Diceros bicornis minor: one gene and its partners. The protein of the gene in region 1 binds, or shares a complex with, the protein of each later gene. Links are inferred from orthologs where the notes say so. Each region holds a gene or a part of one and is shown on either strand. Other genes may lie near its edges.

The links.
Region 2: the proteins of CFB (region 1) and CFP are in contact, whole or in part, in a crystal structure (PDB 7NOZ), measured with the Homo sapiens proteins. The link is inferred for Diceros bicornis minor from reciprocal best matches to the Homo sapiens genes CFB and CFP. Residues at the interface, in NP_001701.2 of Homo sapiens: Glu54, Gln56, Ser78, Thr316, Tyr317, Leu349, Ser351, Met394; in NP_001138724.1 of Homo sapiens: Arg329, Arg330, Asn331, Lys333, Pro341, Met420, Val421.
Region 3: the proteins of CFB (region 1) and CFD are in contact, whole or in part, in a crystal structure (PDB 2XWB), measured with the Homo sapiens proteins. The link is inferred for Diceros bicornis minor from reciprocal best matches to the Homo sapiens genes CFB and CFD. Residues at the interface, in NP_001701.2 of Homo sapiens: Glu298, Ala301, Ser302, Ala332, Asp333, Ile469, Asp470, Glu471, Ser472, Glu518, Tyr519, Lys585, Asp758, Glu759, Asp760; in NP_001919.2 of Homo sapiens: Asn157, His158, Ala159, Gly160, Arg161, Arg162, Arg182, Thr183, Asp186, Arg200, Val228, Cys229, Gly230, Asn231, Arg232, Lys233.

What each region holds. Positions count from the first base shown.
Region 1 is NC_080753.1:32,873,978-32,880,921, reverse strand, and holds the start of CFB (complement factor B), read left to right. Parts: upstream 1-3,854; 5' UTR 3,855-3,976; coding exon 3,977-4,040; intron 4,041-4,128; coding exon 4,129-4,362; intron 4,363-4,781; coding exon 4,782-4,967; intron 4,968-5,112; coding exon 5,113-5,286; intron 5,287-5,523; coding exon 5,524-5,625; intron 5,626-5,729; coding exon 5,730-5,866; intron 5,867-6,416; coding exon 6,417-6,555; intron 6,556-6,891; coding exon 6,892-6,944. Other genes in the region: complement C2, read left to right, coding at 1,036-1,176, 1,301-1,395, 1,491-1,602, 1,720-1,885, 1,995-2,071, 2,207-2,298, 2,498-2,624, 2,791-2,840 and 1 more.
Region 2 is NC_080781.1:41,386,238-41,393,467, forward strand, and holds the start of CFP (properdin), read right to left. Parts: upstream 3,100-7,230; 5' UTR 2,556-3,099; coding exon 2,480-2,555; intron 2,397-2,479; coding exon 2,246-2,396; intron 784-2,245; coding exon 608-783; intron 128-607; coding exon 1-127. UniProt on the Homo sapiens protein: A positive regulator of the alternate pathway (AP) of complement. It binds to and stabilizes the C3- and C5-convertase enzyme complexes. Inhibits CFI-CFH mediated degradation of Complement C3 beta chain (C3b).
Region 3 is NW_026691553.1:446,512-453,937, forward strand, and holds the start of CFD (complement factor D), read left to right. Parts: upstream 1-4,353; 5' UTR 4,354-4,377; coding exon 4,378-4,435; intron 4,436-4,970; coding exon 4,971-5,127; intron 5,128-5,226; coding exon 5,227-5,371; intron 5,372-5,817; coding exon 5,818-6,075; intron 6,076-7,233; coding exon 7,234-7,395; 3' UTR 7,396-7,426. Other genes in the region: myeloblastin-like, read left to right, coding at 1-110; ELANE (neutrophil elastase), read left to right, coding at 159-225, 598-751, 873-1,014, 1,517-1,747, 1,894-2,070.

The DNA of each region.
Region 1 (6,944 bases):
GGACACCGTTCTAAGGATACAACTGTGAATAGAAGAGACAAAAATACCTCCTTGCATAGTGATGTCATTCTGGAGGGGGCAACATATTATTTCCTAGGGCTGCTGCAACAAGTTATACAAACATGGGTGGCTTAAAGCAACAGAAATTTATTTTCTCACGTTCAGGAGGCCAGAAGTCCAAAATCAAGGTATCAGCATGGCCATGCTCCCTCTGGAGGCTCTAGGGAAGAATCCTTCCTTGCCTCTTCCAGCCTCTGGTGGTCCCAGGCTTTTCTTGGCTTGTAGCAGGTTGACTCAGGGACTGCTGTGTCTCTGCCTCTGTATTCACATCACCTTCTTCACTGAGTATATCTCTGTGTCGTCACATGGTCTCTCTGTGTGTCTGTGTCCGATTCCCTTCTACTTATAAGGACACCAAGCATCAGATTAGGGTCTACCCTAATCCAGTATGACCTCGTCTTAACTTTATTACATCTGAAAAGACCCTATTTCCAAATAAGGTCACATTCACAGGTACCAGGTGTTAGGACTTGAACATATCCTTTTGGGGGACACATTTTATAGGCATTAAACAAGATAAATAAGGAAACCATATGGCACAGTAGACAGTGACATGTGCTAAGGTATAAAATGAAGCAGGGAGGGAATGGAAGTGTCTGGGGCACTGCAGTTTTAGACAAGGAGGCGAGGGAAGGCCTTGCTGAGATGGTGACATTTGAGTCAAGACTTAAAAAGGTAAGAAAGTGAGCCATGTGGGAAGTCGGAGGGAAGAGTGAACCAGGCAGAGGTGCAGCTCATGCAAAGGGCCTGAGGTGGGAGTGTGCCTGCAAATTTGAGGAACTTCAAGGAGGCTATGTGACTGGAAGAGAGTGAAGGGCAAGAAGTGGTAGGAAATGAGATCAGATAGGTAGCAGGGGGTGGGGGTCCAGTTCATGTAGGGCTCTGTAGGACACAAAGTGTTCCGACTTACAGTCTCCTGTTTCATGGGGTAGCCTGTCAGCCCTGAGATTCTGGTGATTTCCCTCTCTCCATCAGACATCTATGCCATTGGGGTGGGCAACCTGGATGTGGACTGGAGAGAATTGAACGAGCTGGGGTCCAAGAAGGATGGCGAGAGGCATGCGTTCATTCTGCAGGATGCAGAGGCTCTGAGCCAGGTCTTTGAGCACATGCTGGGTGAGTGAGCTTTGCCCTCTCTGGAATGGGGTGGGCAGTGAGGAGCAGCCAGGGGTCCAGGTTGGGAACCTGCTCACAGTGTTCCTCACCTGCCTCCTTCTGCATCTGCTCCTCACACCCACAGATGTCTCTCGGCTCACAGACACTATCTGTGGGGTGGGGAACATGTCAGCCAATGCTTCCGCCCAGGAGAGGACACCCTGGCATGTCACTATTAAGGTATGAGGAAGCAGGGATGGGGCTTGGATCCAGAGGTGAAAGCAGCCATGGGCCAGAGACACAGCAGTCCCTGAAGATTACCTGTCCCCCTGCAGCCCAAGAGCCAGGAGACCTGCCGGGGGGCCCTCATCTCTGACCAGTGGGTCCTGACAGCTGCTCACTGCTTCCGCCAAGCTGAGGACCGTACTCTGTGGAGGGTCAATGTGGGTAAGACAGGGCCCGCACCAGGTTCCCGACTCCATGGCCAGAGCTCCCAACCCTTGTCCCTAGCATCTGGCCTCTTCAGGAACCCTGGCCCAGCCTAATCCGCCATATTGTTCCCAGGGGATCCCAACTCCAAGTGGGGCAAAGACTTTGAGATTGAGAAGGCAGTGATCTCCTCGGGGTTCGATGTCTATGCCAAGAAGAATCAGGGAATTCCAGAGTTCTATGGGGATGACATCGCCCTGCTGAAGCTGGCCAAGAAAGTGGAGATGTCCACTCATGCCAGGTGCTGGAGTCTGGGATGGGAGGGCGCCCTCCAGGGGAGAGTGCTCTGCGGAGCTCCGGAAGAGGGGTCACTGAAGACAGGCCTGTGTGACCCTTGCCCTTCTTTCCAGGCCCATCTGCCTTCCCTGTACAGTGGGGGCCAACCTGGCTCTGCGGAGACCGCCAGGTAGCAGCTGCCAAACCCACGGTGAGTGCTGGGGCTTCGGGTGCATGAGGAGCTGGGACCACGACTTGGGGGTGATGACATGGGCTGTGCTGCCATCCCCAAGTCTAGAGTCTGGATAAAGGGACCAGCACCACATCCCCTTCTCTTTGACTGCAGAGCTTGAACTTCTGAACCAACAGAGCATTCCTGCTCATTTTGTGGCCTTGAATGGGAGCAGACTGAACATTAACCTTAAGACAGGGACAGAGGTGAGGGTCTCAGGTCCGGGACGCGGTGGGGGATGGGATTCCCCTGTGGCAGTTCCCAGAACATCTCTCTTCCTCTTCTAGCTCTGGCTGTGTTCTCCACGTCACCCCGAGTTGCCCCTCCTCCCAGGCCTAGCTGCACACCAGGTATCCCCTGGGCTTTCTCATTCCATCCTTCTCTCCTGTTCCACCCCTACTGCAGTGGGCAAACTGTATCAAGGTCGTCTCCCAAGACAAGACCACATTCCCCAACCTGACAGATGTTGGAGAGGTGGTGACAGACCAGTTCCTATGCAGTGGGACCGAGAAGGATGACAATCCCTGCAAGGGTGAGCCCCTCTCACCCACACCCCATCCCAGAGCCTGGATTCTTGAGGGGATGGCTATCCATGTCCCATGGCCAGCATGCACACCAGGACACCGGTGCACTGCCTGGATGACAGGGGAGCAGGGCGAGAGTCAGGATGACAGTCTTTTGTCTCTCCTTTCTGGCAGGAGAATCTGGGGGAGCAGTTTTCCTCGAGCGGAGATTCAGGTTTTTTCAGGTGAGGCGAGAAGAGAGAAGCTCGCGAGATGGGGGTTACAGGATTTTGGCCTTGTAGAGGGATGAGGGAGGACTTTGAAGGAACCAGGGAGGTTAGGGCTTGGAGCTGGGGCTGTGGCAGCCTCCCACCCCATTCTCTCTTTCTTCCAGGTGGGCCTGGTGAGCTGGGGTCTCTACAACCCCTGCGGCAGCACCGATAAAAAAGCCCGCAAAAGGGCCCCCCCTGGCAGGGTCCCACCGCCAAGAGATTTCCACATCAATCTCTTCCGCCTGCAGCCCTGGCTCAGGCAGCACCTGGAAGGCGTACTGAACTTTTTGCCCCTCTAATCATGGCCACAACCCTTTTGCGGTCCTGCCAGCATCTGCCATCTCTCCCATCTCCTACCTCTGAACTTCCACCCTCAGACCCCATGCCCTATTCTCACTCCCAACTCTCAGTAAACCCCAGCCTCCAGGATCCCGAAGCAGCATATTTGAGCTGGGGAATCCCCAGGGCTCCTGCCAGTGCCCATCCCACCCTCTGCTTTACTTGGCTCACTCTCCTTTCACTTTCACATGGAATTTCCCAGTTATGAAATTAATAAAAATCAGTGATTTCCACATCTGTCCGTGCCTCTGCCTGGGGGCTGCCTTCAGGGGAGGGGAAGGCCGGAATGATTCCAGGAACTGCAGGAAGGCAGGTCAGAGACCCTGCTGGACAAACAGTGGCTGGACTCTGCTCCATAACCGAGTCAACAGAGGAGCGAGCTGGGGCCTTATTTCTGGTCACTAAGAGGGCGGTCTGGGCTTATTGGGGGGGAACTGGGGCTGAGAGGAGGTGTTGAAGGGGAGAGTCCCGGACCCTGGGCAGCAAAGGGTGGGGCTTGTGCAGTTTCTATTTCCTTGACTGGTGGCTCAGTGGGGGCCCTCCCGCTTGGACATTCCGGAAAGTGATGTGGGTAGGGCGGGTGGGGTGAGCTGCAGGTGCCAGAATACAGATTGCATAAAAGGCTAGAGGTTGTGGGGGGCAGGGGAAGGGAGTGCAAGCAGGCCTGGGTGTGGAGTTTCAGCTTGGACACTGAGCCAAGCAGACACGCAGTGCAAGCGGGATAGGCCATCCTGCCCCCAGTCCCAGCTTCTCTCCTGCCTTCCATCGCCATGGGGAGCAATCTCAGCCCCCAATTCTGCTTGGTACCCTTGGTCCTGGGCCTCTTGTTTGGAGGTAAGTGAGAGTCACTGTCCCCCTCCTTCTGCCCCTGGCATCCCTCCTTGGCCTTGTGAGGCTAGGTTTCATCAGCCTTTTTCTTTAGATGTGAGCACGACACCATTGCCTGTGGCCGAACCCCAAGACTCCTGCTCTCTGGAGGGAGTAGAGATCAAAGGCGGCTCCTTCCGGCTTCTCAAGGAGGGCCAGGCACTGGAGTACATGTGTCCCGCTGGCTTCTACCCGTACCCTATGCAAACTCGCACCTGCAGATCCACGGGCTCCTGGAGCACCCTGAAGACCCAAGACCAAAAGATTGTCAAGAAGGCAGAATGCAGAGGTTGGAGGGTGGTGAGGGTGGGCATGGGCCAGCAGAGGGACAGAGCAGGTGGCAGCCATACAAGGATGAGATTAGAGTTGCATTGAGACCAGGCAGGCAGACAAATTGGGCTGAGCAAGAGTAGGAGCTGTCTAGGGCTGGAGGTGGGAAGGAGGGAGGAGGAAAGGAGCTAACTTTTACTAAGCATTCGCCCTGTGCCAGGCAGCCCTGGCAGTTAATGGAACACTCAGAAATGGGGAGAGAGGAGCAGTGGGACTCCCCATGGGTTGAGGGACTCTCCAAGGGTTGAGGGTAGACTCTGCTCCTGTGGGACCAAGAAGACAGTGTTTCTCACTGACACGGTCCCTGAGACCAGCAGAGATACCCTAAAGGGCAGCCCTTCCCTCTCAGTAACTTCTACTTGTCCCCCTCCCCCAAAGCAATTCGCTGCCCAAGACCACAGGACTTTGAGAATGGGGAGTACTGGCCCCGGGCCCCCTACTACAATTTGAGTGATGAGATCTCCTTCCGCTGCTATGATGGTTACACTCTCCGGGGCTCTGCCAATCGCACCTGCCAAGAGACTGGTCGGTGGGATGGGCAAACGGCCATCTGCGATGATGGAGGTGAGAAGCATCCCATCCCCCAACAACAGTACCCTCTCCATGACCGCGCTCCAGCCTGAGGAACAGGCACCATAGCTCTTGTGCTCTACTTTGCCCTCTGGGCCTCAGGCTTTGGTGCTCATCTTCATGTCTCATGCCTCTGCAGCGGCGTACTGCCCCAACCCAGGCATCCCCCTTGGCACAAGGAAGGTGGGCAGCCAGTACCGCCTCGAAGACAGTGTCACCTACTACTGCAGCCGGGGGCTCACCCTACGTGGCTCCCAGAGGCGAACATGCCAGGAAGGTGGCTCTTGGAGTGGAACGGAGCCTTCCTGCCAAGGTGACCCTTGACCTGTGCCCTCAGGTCAGAACCTGCTCTCCCATCCTCAGGTTCCCACACCATGGCAGTGTCTTCTCCCCCTACCACAACTCAGCTCTTTCCTCACTTCTAAACCTCCCTGTAGAACTTCCTCACTTCTGAGCCCTTCCCACCCTGGAAACCCAGCATCCTCTGCCTCTCTGGTCACTGTATCCCCGACGTTCCCAGATATTTGACCTGATTTCTGACCTCTCCCAGACTCCTTTATGTACGACACCCCTGCAGAGGTGGCCGAAGCCTTCCTGTCTTCCCTGACAGAGACCATAGAAGGAGTCGATGCCGAGGATGGGCACAGCCCAGGTTTGAAGGCAGAGAGGGGAGGCAGGGCAGGGAATTGGAGGAGGATGGAGAAGGGGCAGGAGGACTATGCATGCTGGAGCCTGAGTCTCTCTGGTGGCACCCAGGGGAACAACAGAAGAGGAAGATTGTCCTGGACCCCTCAGGCTCCATGAACATCTACATGGTGCTGGATGGATCAGACAGCGTTGGGGCCCACAACTTCACAGGGGCCAAGAATTGTCTCAGAGACTTCATTGAGAAGGTGGAACCCCTGCCCTTTGGATGTGGGGACCCTGAATGGACCTTATTGCCCTACCAGGACTAGCTCCCTTGTGCTCCCAGGCCCTCTGATGAAAATCTCCAGGTCCTATTCTGTCCTGCTCTTTTACTTGAAGCAGTTTCTTGACCTTTAACCCACACTCCTCCATGAACCTTAAGGTAACCAGTCAGCCCTTCAGTCTTTTTTTTGTGTGTGTGTGTAAGGAAGATCAGCCCTGAGCTAACATCCATGCCAATCCTTCTCTTTTTTCTGAGGAAGACTGGCCCTGAGCTAACATCTGTGCCTATCTTCCTCCACTTTATATGGGACACCGCCACAGCGTGGCCTGACAAGCGGTGCGTCGGTGCAAGCCCGGGATCCGAACCTGGGCCGCCAGCAACGGAACGCACGCACCTAACCGCTATGCCACAGGGCCAGCACCAGCCCTTCAGTCTCTTACTATGACCATCCCTGTCCCAGCAAAGCTGCTGAATTCTCCCAAATATAGTATTCTACTCTCAATGCCATGACTCCTTGCTCCTCTCACCCACAGGTGGCAAGTTATGGGGTGAAGCCAAAATATGGTCTAGTGACATATGCCACAGTCCCCAAGATTTTGATCAGAGTGTCCGAAGACAAGAGCAGCGATGCAGACTGGGTCACAGAGAAGCTCAATGAAATCAGCTACGAAGGTCAGAGGTCAGGGAAGGGAATGGTAGCAGGTTCACTTTGGGGTCAGAGAGGCCAGAAGGTTCAGGGGTGTTGTGGGAAGCAGGTAGTGAGACCATGTGTGCGGGCAGGGAGGACCACTTTGAAGTCCGTGGTTGGACAGCAGGGTCACGGGAGAATGGCAGTTAGTGGGAACCCGTTGGGGCGGAGAGGGTCACTTTGTGGTCAAAGGGAAGTCAGTGGAGTGATGATCAACTTAAAAAGTTGAAAGATGTAGGATCTCAGTTGCTGATAGGCCTCTGGTGTTCTGGGATGGCTTGAAAGACTGGGTGAGGTGATGATGTTTTCCCTTTCCACAGATCACAAATTAAAGGCAGGAACTAACACCAAGAGGGCCCTCCAGGCAGTGTAC
Region 2 (7,230 bases), on another chromosome or scaffold:
TCTCCTGGGCAGTGGCCCCCACACTTGGGGATGGGGCGATCACATGCTCGACGACGGGTCCGGGTCCCTTTGGAGCAGGTAACAGAGCAAGGCGCCCAGGGCCCCCAGTCGGACCAGCCACCTATCTCTGTGGAAGAGAAGAGAGGGGGACAGGATGGAGGTGGGGCTGTCATTCAGGAGTCCTTGCTTCCTCATGAACCCTACATAAGTCAATCCTGTTTCCATATCCTCTGCCACACTTGGCCCACCATCATTGCTCATCTGGACTATTGCAGTAGCCTTCACACCGGTCCCCCTGCTTCACCCCTCACCACATGCAGGCTGTCCTCCTCCTGACAGCGAGAGAGATCTGTCACAACCCAAGTCAGATCACGGTTCTCCTCTGCCCACAGCCCACACCCCTCAGAATAAAAGCCAACATCCTCACCATGGCCCACAGGGATCAGGCCCCCTCTGACTTCACCTCCCACCACTCTCCTCCAGCCACACCAGCCTCCTCCTTAGTACCTCATGAATCAGGCACAGTCCCACCCTAAGGGCCTCTGTCCTGATCATTCCCAGTGCTGGCTAATGGGCAGTGCTTGTCCACTTTGCTGATCCTCCTCACCAGGACAGCATGGCTGTTCCTCACAGGCTTGCAGCTGCCACTCGAGGGTTCCAGGTGCCACCTTCTCAGAGCACTGCCCGCCCCAGCCTATGCAGCGCCGGTGCCGCAGCTGGGAGCCCTCAGCACAGGTAACTGAGCAGGGGGCCCACGCAGACCACGGTGACCATCGTGGGTACCTGCAAAGAAGAGCATGTCTCCCATCCTGGCACGAGCTGACAAGGATGGTGTACAGCATTGCACGGTGTGGGCAGGCCCAGGCACGGGTGTGGGATAAATGTATGTGGAATAGATTGATGAGAGCACCTACCTCTTAGGGATGTTGGGGGATTGAATGGGAAGAGGTGGGTACACAATAAGTGCTTAATAAATGCCATTTACCTTCATGATCAGGGATCTAAAGTTACCCTTTGAAGACCCCCAAGGACACTGCCAGGCATGCAGTAAGCAAATGTAAGGACTAGGGATCCAGAACAGCTGTCAGAAACCCACCAGGCCACCATTGTGGACGGTAGCAGGCAAACAGGAAGTGCTTAATAAATAGGAGCCATCATCCCAATGAGCTCAGAGACCCTGTCAGAAATACCCCAGATCTATTCCCAACTCCCTGCACAGCATAACGCTAAATAGATGTGAACTGTTGACAGGACCAGGGGCCCAGAACTGCCTTCGCAAATCCCCGAGCTCCCCATCCCCATGGTGTATCTAGACTATACAGTAAGCAGCTAAAAATATGTCTGGCAGGAGCCAGCCCCGCGGCGTAGCGGTTAGGTTCGCGCACTCCGCTTTGGTGGCCTGGGGTTTGCAGGTTCAGATCCCAGGCGCAGACCTACGCACTGCTTATCAAGCCATGCTCTGGCGGCGTCCCATATAAAGTAGAGGAAGATGGGAAGATGGGCACGGATGTTAGCCCAGGGCCAAACTTCCTCAGCAAAAAGAGGAGGTTTGGCAACAGATGTTAGCTCAGGGCTAACCTTCCTCACAAAAAAAAAAAATGTCTGGCATACAGTAAAGGCTCAATGCATGTAAGCTGGTGTCATGATTAGGAGACTAGAGCTACCCTCAGAAATCCTCCAGCTACCCTCGACCTCTGCAATGCATCTGGTGTGCCAGAAGTCCTCAATGAATGTGAAGTGTCATCATAATTAGGGGCCTGGAGCTGCCCTCAGAATTCCCCAAACTCCCACCCCCACAGTGCATCTGTATACAGTAAGCACTCAATATGAGCTGTCATCACAATTAGGAGACTTGAGTTACCTTCAGAAATACCTGAGCTGCACCCCACCCACAATGCTTCCAGTATGCAGGAAGTGCTCAATAAATGTAAACCATGGCAGTGGTTCTCAGCCAGGGGTGATTTTGCTCCCAGGGGACATTCGGCAATGTCTGGAGAAATTTTGGTTGTTGCAACTGGCAGGGGCAGTTGCTACTGGCATCTAGTGGGAGGGATGCTATGAAATACCCCGCGATGCACAGGTCAGCCTCCCACAACAAAGAATTTTCTGGCCCCAATTATCAATAGAACCGAGGCTGAGAAATCCCGAGCTATGGTCATATTCAGGGCCTTGGAGCCACCCTTGGAAAACCCAGAGAAGGAATGAGCCCAGTTCTGCCTCCCCACAACCCCAGGCTCCCCCTAACCTGCATGCCTGACAGAGCTTCCTGCCGGGCTCCTGGAAGGCATAGGCAGCGTTGAGACAGCAGTCTTCCACACTAACACCTCCCCCCAGGAGGCCCTTGCACTTGCCTGAGGATTCCTCATACTGGGTGAAGCAGAGTACGGGGTCTGAGCCTGTAACATGGCGGGGGGGGGCATGGTCAGGAGTGTGGTGGGCCCGGGCACCTCGGGGCCCAGCTGGGTCCTCCCCCACTCACCTGTGGCTGGCAGAGTGAGAAGCAGCAGCAGCAGAGGCAGCAGCAGCAACCGAGGGGCCTGCGCCAGGGCAGGCATGCTGAGCCCTGCACCCTGCAGCTCCGCCAGAGAGGAGGCCTGGCTTTCTGCAGGCTGACCGGCTCCCAGAGTCAGCGGGAAAGAGGAACCATGGGCAGGAGGAACTGGGAGGGCGAAGGGCAGCACGGGGGAGGGGAGGGCATCATGCAGGTCTCTTCAGCTCCAACCTTTCCCCTGTCACCTCTCCTCTGAGCCTCCTCCTCTACTCTCCCCTTCCTACTTCCTGTCTCGCTCTTGATCCTGTTTTGTTTGTCACTGTATCCCCAGCACCCCAGGCCCTGCCCAGCAACCCTTTAGCACTCAATCAATGCTCCTTGGACAAATTCTCACTGAGGGGAAATGTAGCATAGGAGTTTGGAGCAAGATGAGCTTCCTAGCTGTGTGACCTTAGGCAAGTCACTTGAACTTCTCTGAGCCTGTTTCTCCACCTCTAAGATGCATAATCTCCACCCCAACGACAGGGTCAACCTCACAGGGGCATTGAACAAGGGTGAAATGAGTGTGGCGTGCTCAGTATGCCTCCTCACGGGGTGGAGCAGGCATTGAGGTAATTGCTTCATCCCCCATCCTGACTTGCCCACTGCCTTGCCCTCCTCTTTCCTGAAAGCGAGGTTTCCTGTGGTCAGCATGGGGAAGGGAGGTCAGCACAAGGGAAGTGAGAAGGGGAAGTGGCAAGAGTGTGGGGAGGATTCAGGAGGAGTGAGTTGGGGATATCCACTGTCCCAGGGGCCCAGCCGGGGACACCTTCAGGGCCTGGGGAGGGGTGGTTGGCAGGGAACTGGCTTGGCCATGTTCCATCAGAGTAACTTGGGTAGGTGACACCTCCCTCCCTGAACTTACATCATAGGGTTTGTTGCAAAGATTGGGAGTAAAGATTTTAAAAAGTCCTTAGCACAGTGCCTGGCATACAGTACATGCTCTGTGTTTGTTACATAAATTTATTCAATATTTATTGGGCACCCATCGGGTGCCAGATGCTGTTCTTAGCATTGGACGGAACAGAGAACAAGACGGCCAAAAATCCTGGCCCTCAAAGGGCTTGCGCTCTGAAAGTGGAGACAGACAATAACTGTCACCTCCCTCACAGAGGTTGTCCCTAGCTACCCTTTATGTACGGCACCCCTGTCGCTCTCTAGGTCAGTGGCTCTCACATCTTAGCATACATCAGAATCATCTGGAAGGTTTCTTAAATCACAGATTGCTGGGCCCCACCCCCGTTTCTGATTCTATAAGTCTGTGGTGGGGCTCAAGAATGTGCACTTCTTTTGGGCCGGCCCCGTGGCTTAGCGGCTAAGTGTGCGCGCTCCGCTGCTGGCGGCCCAGGTTCGGATCCCGGGCGTGCACCGACGCACCGCTTCTCCAGCCATGCTGAGGCTGCGTCCCACATACAGCAACTAGAAGGATGTGCAACTATGACATACAACCATCTACTGGGGCTTTGGGGGAAAAATAAAAAATAAATAAAATTATAAAAAAAAAAAAAAAGAATGTGCACTTCTAACAGGCTCCCAGGTGACACGGAAGCTGCTGGTCTGGGGACCACACTTTAAGAACCATCATTCTAGTCCCTGACCCCTCTTTTTCTTTGTAGGTCTCATCTACAAAAACTATTCTACATGCTCCTTATTTTACTGTTAATAATTAATTCCTCTTCAGCTCATTTTCCATGCAGGTAAAACTGAGTTCCACGACCCCCTCTTTTTTTTTTCATAAGCCCTAATGAGTGAAACTCTAGAGCCTGCTTTAAAAACAGAAAGCTTTTTAACAAAAAGGAGTCTAAGAAAGTTAGGAAGGCAAGGTCTCATTTCTCTTGCATTCATGGAGGGAGAAATACCATTCTGCAAATTAAAGTAAAAGAATTTGATTTGGTCAGGTGTTAAAACAGAACTTTCTCAAGAACATTGGTCTTGTTTTATGGGTGATAAGGCGTGTTGACATTCATATCCATTACAGACGTACTCTGTTTCCTGATAATATAGCCTGTCTTTGCAAGTGTGCTTTGAACAAAAGGGTCTTGTTAAGATTCTAAGACTTCAGACATCAGTGCTGCGTTATCCTGTGAAAACAAACTCCCAAGAAACCTGTAATTCTGGTTGGTTGCTTTATCTATCACCCGTTGCCCAGGTAATAATGCTATAATCGATATTTCCTTTGTTCCTAAACTGTATAAATACTCATAGGATTCCTGTGGAAGAGGACTGTCGGCGTTTTCATCTGCTCCCACACGTTTGGGCAATAAAACGACTCTGCAGATTTCTTATTTAAACAAAGAGTGAGAGAGTCTTGTCTCATGTAATTATTGCACCACCACCTGACATGATGTATTTGTTTCTTGTCCAACGTCTTCACTAAAATACCAGCTCTAAAGGCAGGGGTTTCTGTCTGGTTTGTTAACCACTGTGTCTGCAGGGCTCAGCAAACATCTGCTGAATGACTAAATAAACGAAGTAAACAAAACTTAGAGATTCTGGGTAAGTGCTAACAGGAACAGTCTGGGTTGGAGGTAAAAATGTGGGCGTCACCAGGGGAGTCGGGTCTCAGGTGCCAGGACTGGGGCAGACTGCCTGAAGGGGGCTTGTGAGAAGAGGGAAGGGAACCCCAGGCAAAGCCCCGGGGAACTTCAGCATTTCAAGTTTTGGAGAACTGGGAGAAGCCAGCCCAGGGGATTGAGGAGGAGGGATCTGTGGAGGAAGAGAACAAACAGAAGAGGGCTCTCCCCTAGGCCTGGCACATTCCATTCGTGGTCTCTCATACAGTCTCATTTGGTCTCAGTCATTTTCCTTCACTTTTTAAAAAACATAGTTACACACATAGTTCTGGATTTCCAGCCTCAACTATAGTCTGTTACAAACAGGCTCATATACATACTCGATCACACAGCCTCTCAGACATCCTCAGCCACTCACTCAGGGAGTCATTGATTCCCAGTCTTACTATCGTCTCCTACTAACACTCTCTCTCTCTCTCTCTCTCTCTCTCTCTCTCTCTCTCTCTCTCTCTCTCTCACACACACACACACACACACACACACACACACAATCACGTCTCATAGGCTGTCTCATTCGGCAAATATCACCACGATTTACTTTTACCAGTTTTTCACGTGCACACAAACCAGTCACACCTTTTGATAAGATGTTTCAACCATTCACACAGGCCATAATTTTCTCACATCCACAAATAGTCACTGATTTACAGCCACTAGTCTCTCATGAAGTTTCTTGTACACATACAAAATCTTCTCTCGCACCTCTTCACAATCAAGCCCCTATTTCACACACCCACAGTCCGATTATAGCTGAGTTGCACACACAAACACAATCACAATACCTCAGACATTGTCCTAGTCACCACCTAGTCTCACACTTCTCAAGCAGTTTCTAACATACCCAGTCCTTTATTTACAGCCTTTAATCAAGTCCCACGCGAAGAGTTTTACACATACTCACACAATCACTTTTACAGATACTGTCTCAGTCACCCATTCGGTGTCACAGTCACTTTCCCTCAGTCAGCTTCTGACATGTGTAGTCACTAATTCACAATCACTACTAGGCTCTCATTAAGTCTCACACACACAGTCTCTCAGGGCCTATCTCAGTTATTCACATCATCTTCTTCTTCATACAGTCAGCTTATCACGTACACTCAAACACAATTACAGCCTTGCTGGTTTCTCCCACACACCAATCACATGGTCTCTCAGTGTCTCATTTTCTGTTTTTCACAAATACATAGTCTCCAATTTATAATCTCTTATGAAATGTTTCGCAGACCCACATACTCTTAAACTCTGCTCAGTCGTCAATTTTCTCTCACGCAGCGCTGACGTTATTCTTACTTATCGTCTCTCGCTCAGTTATGTGGTACCACTTCACTCAGACTCACCATCATTTTCTCTCACACTTTCACAGTCCCTGAACCTGTGGGCTAGACTAGTCACTGTAAATCAATTTGCCACTAGTCTCTGGTACACACACAATTACAGCCTCTCATGCTCTCCCAGTCATAGCCGTTTTTTCCCAGTTTCTTACACAGTCTTTGCCAGTCTCGCGTGAACAGTTTTCAAACACACAATCCCGCATTCATGTATCTTGTGTCTCAGGCACCCATTTTCTCTCAATCAACTTCTCACACATAAGCCCCATTACTCTAGTTGATACGACAGCCTTGCACGAACAGTTTCACACACAATCTATCTCCCAAACACTGAGTACCTGCTTACATACAGTGAACTCTTTCACCGACACACAGTCCTTGACAATCTCTACCACACTTTCATGCCCATATAGGCTCTCACACATTGTTTTGATCACTCAGTCTGTCTGGCTCACCATCAGTCTGTCAAACAGAGACTGATGTGCAGCCCCCACTGCCTTCTCATAAACATTATTTCACACACACCACCGGTTTCTTGTATACTGCCTTAATCACTCATTCAGTCTGACAGTGATTTTCTGACACACAGCCACAATGTCAAGTTTGTGGTCACAACTTTCACTTTCTCACACAGTTTCGCACATATATACATGCGATCACAGCTTTCCACAGTTTCTCTCTTTTTCACACACCTGGTTACCAATCTTCAGTCTCTAATACTATTTCTGACACACACCATCATGCTGTCTCTTTCACAATCAACCTCACACCCTCACCGCCTTCCACACAAAGTCAT
Region 3 (7,426 bases), on another chromosome or scaffold:
GGCCCCGGCTCACCTCCTCCCATGCTTCCTGCTGTCACCCCCTCGTCTCCACGTCCCCGGGGGGGACAGGAAGTGGGGCAACGGCAACGGCCTCGGCGTGGGGGCCATAAGAGGGGCCGGCGGGCACGGGGGGCAGAGACGCGGAGCCTCGCCCGACCATGACTGGCAGCCGCACACCCTCCAGCCCTGTACTCGCCCCCATCCTGCTGGCTGTGCTGCTGGGCGGTGAGTGGGGCGGCGTGTCCGTCTGTCTGTCCCTGGACGTCTCTTCCTGCCTCTCATGGGCCCCTCGTCCTCGTGGGGAGGTGACGGCTGGGATGAGGTGACATGTTTCCAGAGGAAGAGACTGAGGTTCTGAGTGGTGGGAGTCCAGAGCTGGGGTTTGAACCGGGGGGTCCCTGGGCGCCCTCTGGGGACTCCAAAGCCACGTTAAGCCCCAATCTAGCCGCACCCCGGCTGGGGGACCATGGCAGCCCCCTCTCTGCGTCTCTGTGCCTCAGTTTCCCCATCTGGGCAGTGAGCACAAAGAGCCTGGACCCCTTGGGGTCCTGGTGTGAGCCGGGTGGCTGACCGGCCCTGCCCCCCCGTGTGCCCCAGGCCCTGCACTGGCCTTGGAGATCGTGGGTGGCCAGCCGGCCCGGCCCCATGCGTGGCCCTTCATGGTGTCCCTGCAGCGGGGAAGCCACTTCTGCGGGGCCACCCTGATCGCCCGTGACTTCGTCCTGTCGGCCGCGCACTGCGTGAATGGCCGGTGAGTCCCCCGTATCCGCCCCGGCCCTCAGTGTCCCCGTCTGTCCTCGCTCCTCGAGGGGCGGGCTGACCCCCGACCCCGGGGCCGCCCGAGTCACCCCCTGTCCCCCCGTTGCCGGCAGCAACTTCCGGTCGGTGCAGGTGGTGCTGGGGGCCCACAACCTGCGGCGGCGCGAGCGCACCCGCCAGACATTCGGCGTCCGGAGGATCTTCGAGAACGGCTTCGACCCCACGACGCTGCAGAACGACATCGTGGTTCTCCAGGTGGGGGCCAGGGGCCGGGGGGTGGACAGGGGGACCCCAGCTGTCACAGGCACGTCGTCTCTCTGTGCCTCGGTCTCCCCTCTGTGACTCGGGGAGACAAACCCCGCCTGGCCGGGCCTCGGAGAGATTGTGAGAGACGACATCGGGAGCTCTGAGCAATAGTCAATCAACAAACGCCGTTATTCGTGCCCTGTCACAAGTCCCACATTCGGGCCAGCGGGAGACTCAAGGCAGAAACCCTCCCATCCCACTCTTCTGATTCTTCTCTGAGAATGTTCTAGAACGAGGGTTTTATTGGCCTCAGTGTTGCCCATGGTTTGTTTTATTGAGCACCTACTGTTTATAGCACCATTATTAAGCACCTCCTGTTTACAGCACTCAAGTCATGTCCGGGGCGCCCCGGGCCACTGTGGTTGCTGCCAATTACAGACAGGGAAACTGAGGCCGGGGAGGGGAGGGCCGTCGCCCGCGCCCCGTGTGACACTCACGTGCTCTGTCCCAGCTCGACGGGTTGGCCACCATCAATGCCAACGTGCAGGTGGCCCAGCTGCCCGCCCAGGGGCGCAGCCCCAGGAACGGGACGCAGTGCCTGGCCATGGGCTGGGGCCGGCTGGGCACCAATGGGCGGCTGCCCAGCATCCTGCAGCAGCTCAACGTGACGGTGGTGACCTCCCTGTGCCAACGCTCCAACGTGTGCACGCTGGTGCCGCGGCGCCGGGCCGGCATCTGCTTCGTGAGTGCCCCCCGCGTCCCCCACCCCGAGCCCCGCCCGGCCCCAGCAACCCGGCCAGCGGCCGGACCCCGGGAGGGACTGCCCGACCCCGAGCGGGGCGGGGCCCGGGCAGCGCAGCCTCCCACCCCGTCTGTCGGGCTCCGCAGGGCGACTCTGGCGGGCCGCTGGTCTGCGACGGGCTGGTCCAGGGCATCGACTCCTTCATCCGCGGAGGCTGCGGCTCTGGCTTCTACCCCGACGCCTTCGCCCCCGTCGCGCAGTTCGCCAGCTGGATCAACTCCATCCTCCGCCGCCACGGGGACCCTCTGAGCGGGGCCCGCTAGGAAGGGCGGCCCGGGTGCCCCTGCCTCGCCTGCCCCAGCCAGGCCCTTCCCACGCCGCGTCCCCGGGCACCTCGCCCAATAAAAACCCTCTCCCTTTTGTAGAACGTGTCTGGCTGTGTGTCGGTTGTGCCAGCGGGTGTGGAAAGTCGTCAGGGCACCTCTGGGGTATGCTGCCACCAGGTGGCGGCAAATGTGGGGCATTGACGTGAGAAGTCCCTTCCCCACCTCCTTCCACGAAAGGATTCGGGTTACCATTTCTGGATTCCCCCCCATAAAACCCACTTTCATGGGATCACACGAGTGTCGCCGGTGGTGATGACAAAGCACTGTGGCGGTGTTCGTTGAGTGCTCACGAGGTACGGGAATGTTCTGAGTCTTGGGGGGACCTCACTCCTCCAGCCCTCGAGGGGGGTCCTCTTGGAGCCCCCGCCTCACAGACAAGGGAGTGGGGGCGCAGAGAGGTGTGAAGCCGGGCCCGGGAGCCTGAGTTTGACGCCCAGCTCTGTGACTTTGGGCAACTCGCTCACTGTCTCTGAGCCTCGGTTTCACCGCCGTCTGGAAAGGGCACAGCCTGGGGTGGGGTCCTGGTGGCCTCGGCTGCACTGGGTGACGGGGACGAGCCACCCCCCACCCTGGACTTTTGCTCTGATGAGGGAAGAGGGGCAGAGCACGTTTCCCGAGGGAACCACGCCCCGATGGAACCAGCCCTGGGGGGGCCTGTGCCCCTCTTCTGCCTCCCTGGGCCGGGGCCACGGGCGGGACCATCTCCATCGTGCAGCTCGAAGGCTGATGGTGGCGGGGCCACCAAAGCAGAGACAAAAAACGAGAGAAGTGACTTCACATAACGCCCCCACGTGCCGCGAGTTTGAGGTGAATCTCCCCCTCCGTCCCTGCCCCGACCCCTCCCGCTGGAGCTCGTGGCCCGGGGCCCACCCGGGGTCTTTGCCTCATTCTGCCCCCTGTCCCCGCGGGCCGTCCGCCGACCCCCCTCTCCCGGGGCCAGCAGCTCAGAGCGGCCTCCGCTGCCCCGAGATGGCCTCCCCCACAGACCTTGGCGCCTGGCGGTCTCTCCACGTCAGCGGCATCTGGGGACACTCAGGGTTGTTTAGTGAACCGGCCGGTCTCGCTGGGTGGCCTCCAGGTTTTGTTGTAATTTCATAATTGTCCCCTCTTACATAACCCGGACTCCGCATCCCCACGGCTGTTTGTTCAGTTTCTGATTTTAACGAGGAAACGTGTTAGTTAGGAAATCACGTTTGCTGTGTTATTTTCTATTTTCCTCTGCGTGTATGAAATCGTCTGCCTGGAAGGGAAAAGAAATAGAGGGGAAAGTATCACGCACGGTTCCCACTGGGGACGTCGAGGTCCCCCGACCCTGCTGGTCCCAGCACCTTCCCCTGTAGGTTCCTGAGGGGTTGAGCCAGCATCCCCCCCTTACTGAGGGCTGTGTGAGCCGGGGTCCACTCATGAGAACCCGCCATCCCCTGCCCCCAGTGCCTGGTTTGGGAGGGGGTGTGCGGTCCAAGCTCGGCCAACTAGAGGTGGCCTTGAGACACTGGCTGGAGTGATGGGGAATTTGAGGAGGCCCACAGAGCCGCTAGGCTGAGTCTGGGGCCCCGGGGGACAGAGTAGGGGAGCCTGGTGAGGAGAAAAGCCATCAAGGAGGAAAGTAGAAACCAGAGGCAGAGACCTGACATTTTTTAGGTGCCTGGATCAAGCCACACCTGAAGGTGGACCCTGAACTTTCCATTTGAATTTCCTCATCTTCCCCGCTGCCCCCCTACACGACAACTTTCCAATACTGTTGTTGGGGTGTCAGGCCCCAGAGCCACAGCCACGGGGACAAGGGTGTCAGGCGACCTTTCTCCCACCCCCACCCGACCTCCTGTCCAAGTTGGAGGAGGAAGAAAACAAAGGGAGGAGCGAACGCATGAGGAAATGGTTGTTTATAAACTATGGCCTCTAGCTGCTGTTGCGAAACCTCAGGGCCCCCTGGGGAGCAGGGGCTGGGGGCTGGGGTGGGTCCGGCTCTGCCCCCTGCCCATCCTGAGGGTCTGCTCCCCACTCTGGGGCCAGCCCTGGGCCGGGTGCGCAGAGGCGGGAGGCATCCCCGGGGGCCAACGACTCTTGGCGCAAAGTCCCCCAGGAGAAAACCCGCAGGAGTGGGCGGGACACAAGGTTCCCCTTTCCCCTGCTGGGCCGCTGCCCCTCGGACCATGGGGCTTGTGGGAGCCGCCCGCCCCTCTCCGCTCTGATAAAAGCACCCCCGGGGCCCCGCCTGGGCCAGTGTGAGGCCACAGCGGCATCATGGCAGGCCACACCGGGCACCTGGCGGCTCTGGTCCTCCTGGGCGTGGCCCTATGTGGTGAGTGGACCTGGGATGGCAGGGATAGCCGGGGGGCCACCCGCCTGCAGGGTGGTCAGCCAGGGGTCCCCCTCTGCCAAACAAGACTGTCCCCCAGCCCCATTCGGTGGGCAGGAGGAGCGGCAGGGTCCATGAGAGCGGAAGGCTCTGAAAGTCAAGAAATTCTCAGAACCCTGATGCATGAGCATCCTGCACTCCCCCCCCCCACAACAAGGGTCTGAGGGTCTATGGTGGGAAACGGGGGTCCGGGGTGAAACCACGGCGGGAGGGTTGGGTTTGGTCACCCCACTCTTCTCCTGTTTAACTTGAAGCCCTTAGGGCGGTGTGTAGGGAGGGAATTGGCTCCAGACCCCACCACGCCCTATTGCCTCTGTCTCCTCTGGCACTCCTCCCTGGCCCCCAGATTTGAGACTGGGCGGGGGATCCCAGGGATGGAATTTCAGGTCTGAGGGCTGGGGCGGCCTGGGTGGGGAAGGGGCATCCGAGGGCTGGGCTGCAGTCACCCGGAAGCCCTCGCGCCCCCTGCCGCCCCCAGCGGCGCAGCCCCGCGGCCGGATCCTGCGCGGCCAGGAGGCCGAGGCGCACGCGCGGCCCTACATGGCGTCGGTGCAGGTGGCCGGCAAGCACGTGTGCGGGGGCTTCCTGGTGGCGGCGCAGTGGGTGCTGAGCGCCGCGCACTGCCTGGAGGACGCGTGAGTGCGGGCGCGCGGGAGTACAGGGTGGGGACCCGGTGCGGGTCCGGGGGGAGGGTGGATGGGGAGACCGGCTCTGACCCGCTTGGACTCCCCCAGGGCCGGCGGGAAGGTGCAGGTGCTCCTGGGCGCGCACTCCCTGTCGCAGCCCGAGCCCTCGAAGCGCCTGTACGACGTGCTCCGCGCGGTGCCGCACCCGGACAGCCGGCCGGACACCAACGACCACGACCTCCTCCTGCTGCAGGTGGGCCTGGCCCCGCCGCGGCGCCCCTTGCTGCCCCCGGGACCCCGGCCCGCCCGCCCCATCCCCCCGAGTCCAGCCGCGGTCCCTCCTGCTGCACTGGGGACCCCGGCCCCCCGCCCCATCCCCCCGAGTCTCACCGCGGTGCCTCCTGCTGTGCTGGGGACCCCGGCCACCCCCCCGCCCCATCCCCCCGAGTCCAGCCGCGGTCCCTCCTGCTGCACTGGGGACCCCGGCCCCCCGCCCCATCCCCCCGAGTCTCACCGCGGTCCCTCCTGCTGCACTGGGGACCCCGGCCACCCCCCCGCCCCATCCCCCCGAGTCTCACCGCGGTGCCTCCTGCTGTGCTGGGGCCCCCACCGCCCCATGCCCCCGAGTCTCACCGCGGTCCCTCCTGCTGCGCTGGGGCCCCCACCGCCCCCGGCCCTGACGCCGCCCCCCTCCCCCAGCTGTCTGAGGAGGCCGTGCTGGGCCCCGCGGTGCAGCCCCTGCGCTGGCAGCACGAGGACCGCGACGTGGCGGCCGGCACGCTCTGCGACGTGGCCGGCTGGGGCGTGGTCAGCCACACCGGCCGGCGGCCCGACCGCCTGCAGCACTTGCTCCTGCGGGTGATCGACCGCGCCACCTGCAACCTGCGCACCTACCACGACGGCACCATCACTGAGCGCATGATGTGCGCGGAAAGCAACCGCAGAGACACCTGCAAGGTGCGCGGGCGGGGCGGGGCGTGCGGGAAGAGGGCGGGGCCCGGAGAGGGGCGGGGCCGAGAGAAGGGCGGGGCGTGGGGGGAGGGGCGGGGCCCGGAGAGGGATGGGGCCTAGAGAAGGGCGGGGCGTGCGGAGGAGGGCGGGGCCCGGAGAGGGGCGGGGCCGAGAGAAGGGCGGGGCGTGCGAAGGAAGGCGGGGCCCAGAGAGGGGCGGGGCCGAGAGAAGGGCGGGGCGTGCGAAGGAAGGCGGGGCCCAGAGAGGGGCGGGGCCGAGAGAAGGGCGGGGCGTGCGGAGGAGGGCGGGGCCCGGAGAGGGGCGGGGCTGAGAGAAGGGCGGGGCGGGCGGGGCTTGGGGCGGGCCAGGAGAGGGGTGGGGCACGCGTGATGGGCGGGGCCAAGAGGGGCGGAGCTGAGAGAAGGGGCGGGTCCGAGCCAGGGGTGGGGCACACAGAGTGTGCGGCGGGGCACGCGGGTGGGCGAGGCCAGAAGGCGTTGGGGTTGGCAGGGGCAGGACGTGAACGAGGACAGAGCCAACAGAGGGGGCGGGGCCAAGAGGGGCGGGGCCAGGAGTGGTGGGGCACTGAGAGGGCGGGGCTGGTGAGGAACAGCGCATGTGTAGGGCGGGGCCAACAGAAGGGGCATGTCAACAGAAAGGGGCGGGGCCAACCGAGGGGGCGGAGCCGGCGAGGAGCGGGACATGCAGAGGGCGGGGCCAACAGATGGGCGGGTTATACGGGTCTAGATGAGTGGGCGTGGCCTCAGGAAGATGAGGGGCTGAGATGGGGGGGTCAATGACAGGGACAGGCCCAGGGAGGGACTGGCCTGAGGTCAGGCAGGGCTGGGAGGAGAGGTGCCATACAGAAGAGGGTGCAGATGAGGTGCAGGGCCCGAGCCTGGAGAGGGTCAGGAGTGGCGCAAGGTAAGAGGAGCGGGTTGACGCCGAGACAAGACAGGCCTGGGACAGAGGGTGGGGCGGGGCCGGGAGGCGGGGCTTGGTGGGCGGGGCCTGGGGAGATTGACGAGCCAGGAAGCAGATTGGGGCTGGAGGGAGGAGCGGAATTGCAGCGGCAGCGGAACCGGAGCGGGACCTGGAGGCCACGGGGCCTGCGGGGCCCTGCGCCCACCCTGACGGCCCTCCCCTCACTGCCCCCCAACGCAGGGCGACTCCGGGGGCCCGCTGGTGTGCGGGGGCGTGGTCGAGGGCATCGTCACCTCGGGCTCGCGCATCTGCGGCAACCCCAAAAAGCCCGGCATCTACACGCGCGTGGCGAGCTACGCGGCCTGGATCGAAGGCGTGATGGCCGGGGGCGCGGCAGCCTGAGGGGGACCCGAGGGGCGGCGGCCACGGGCTG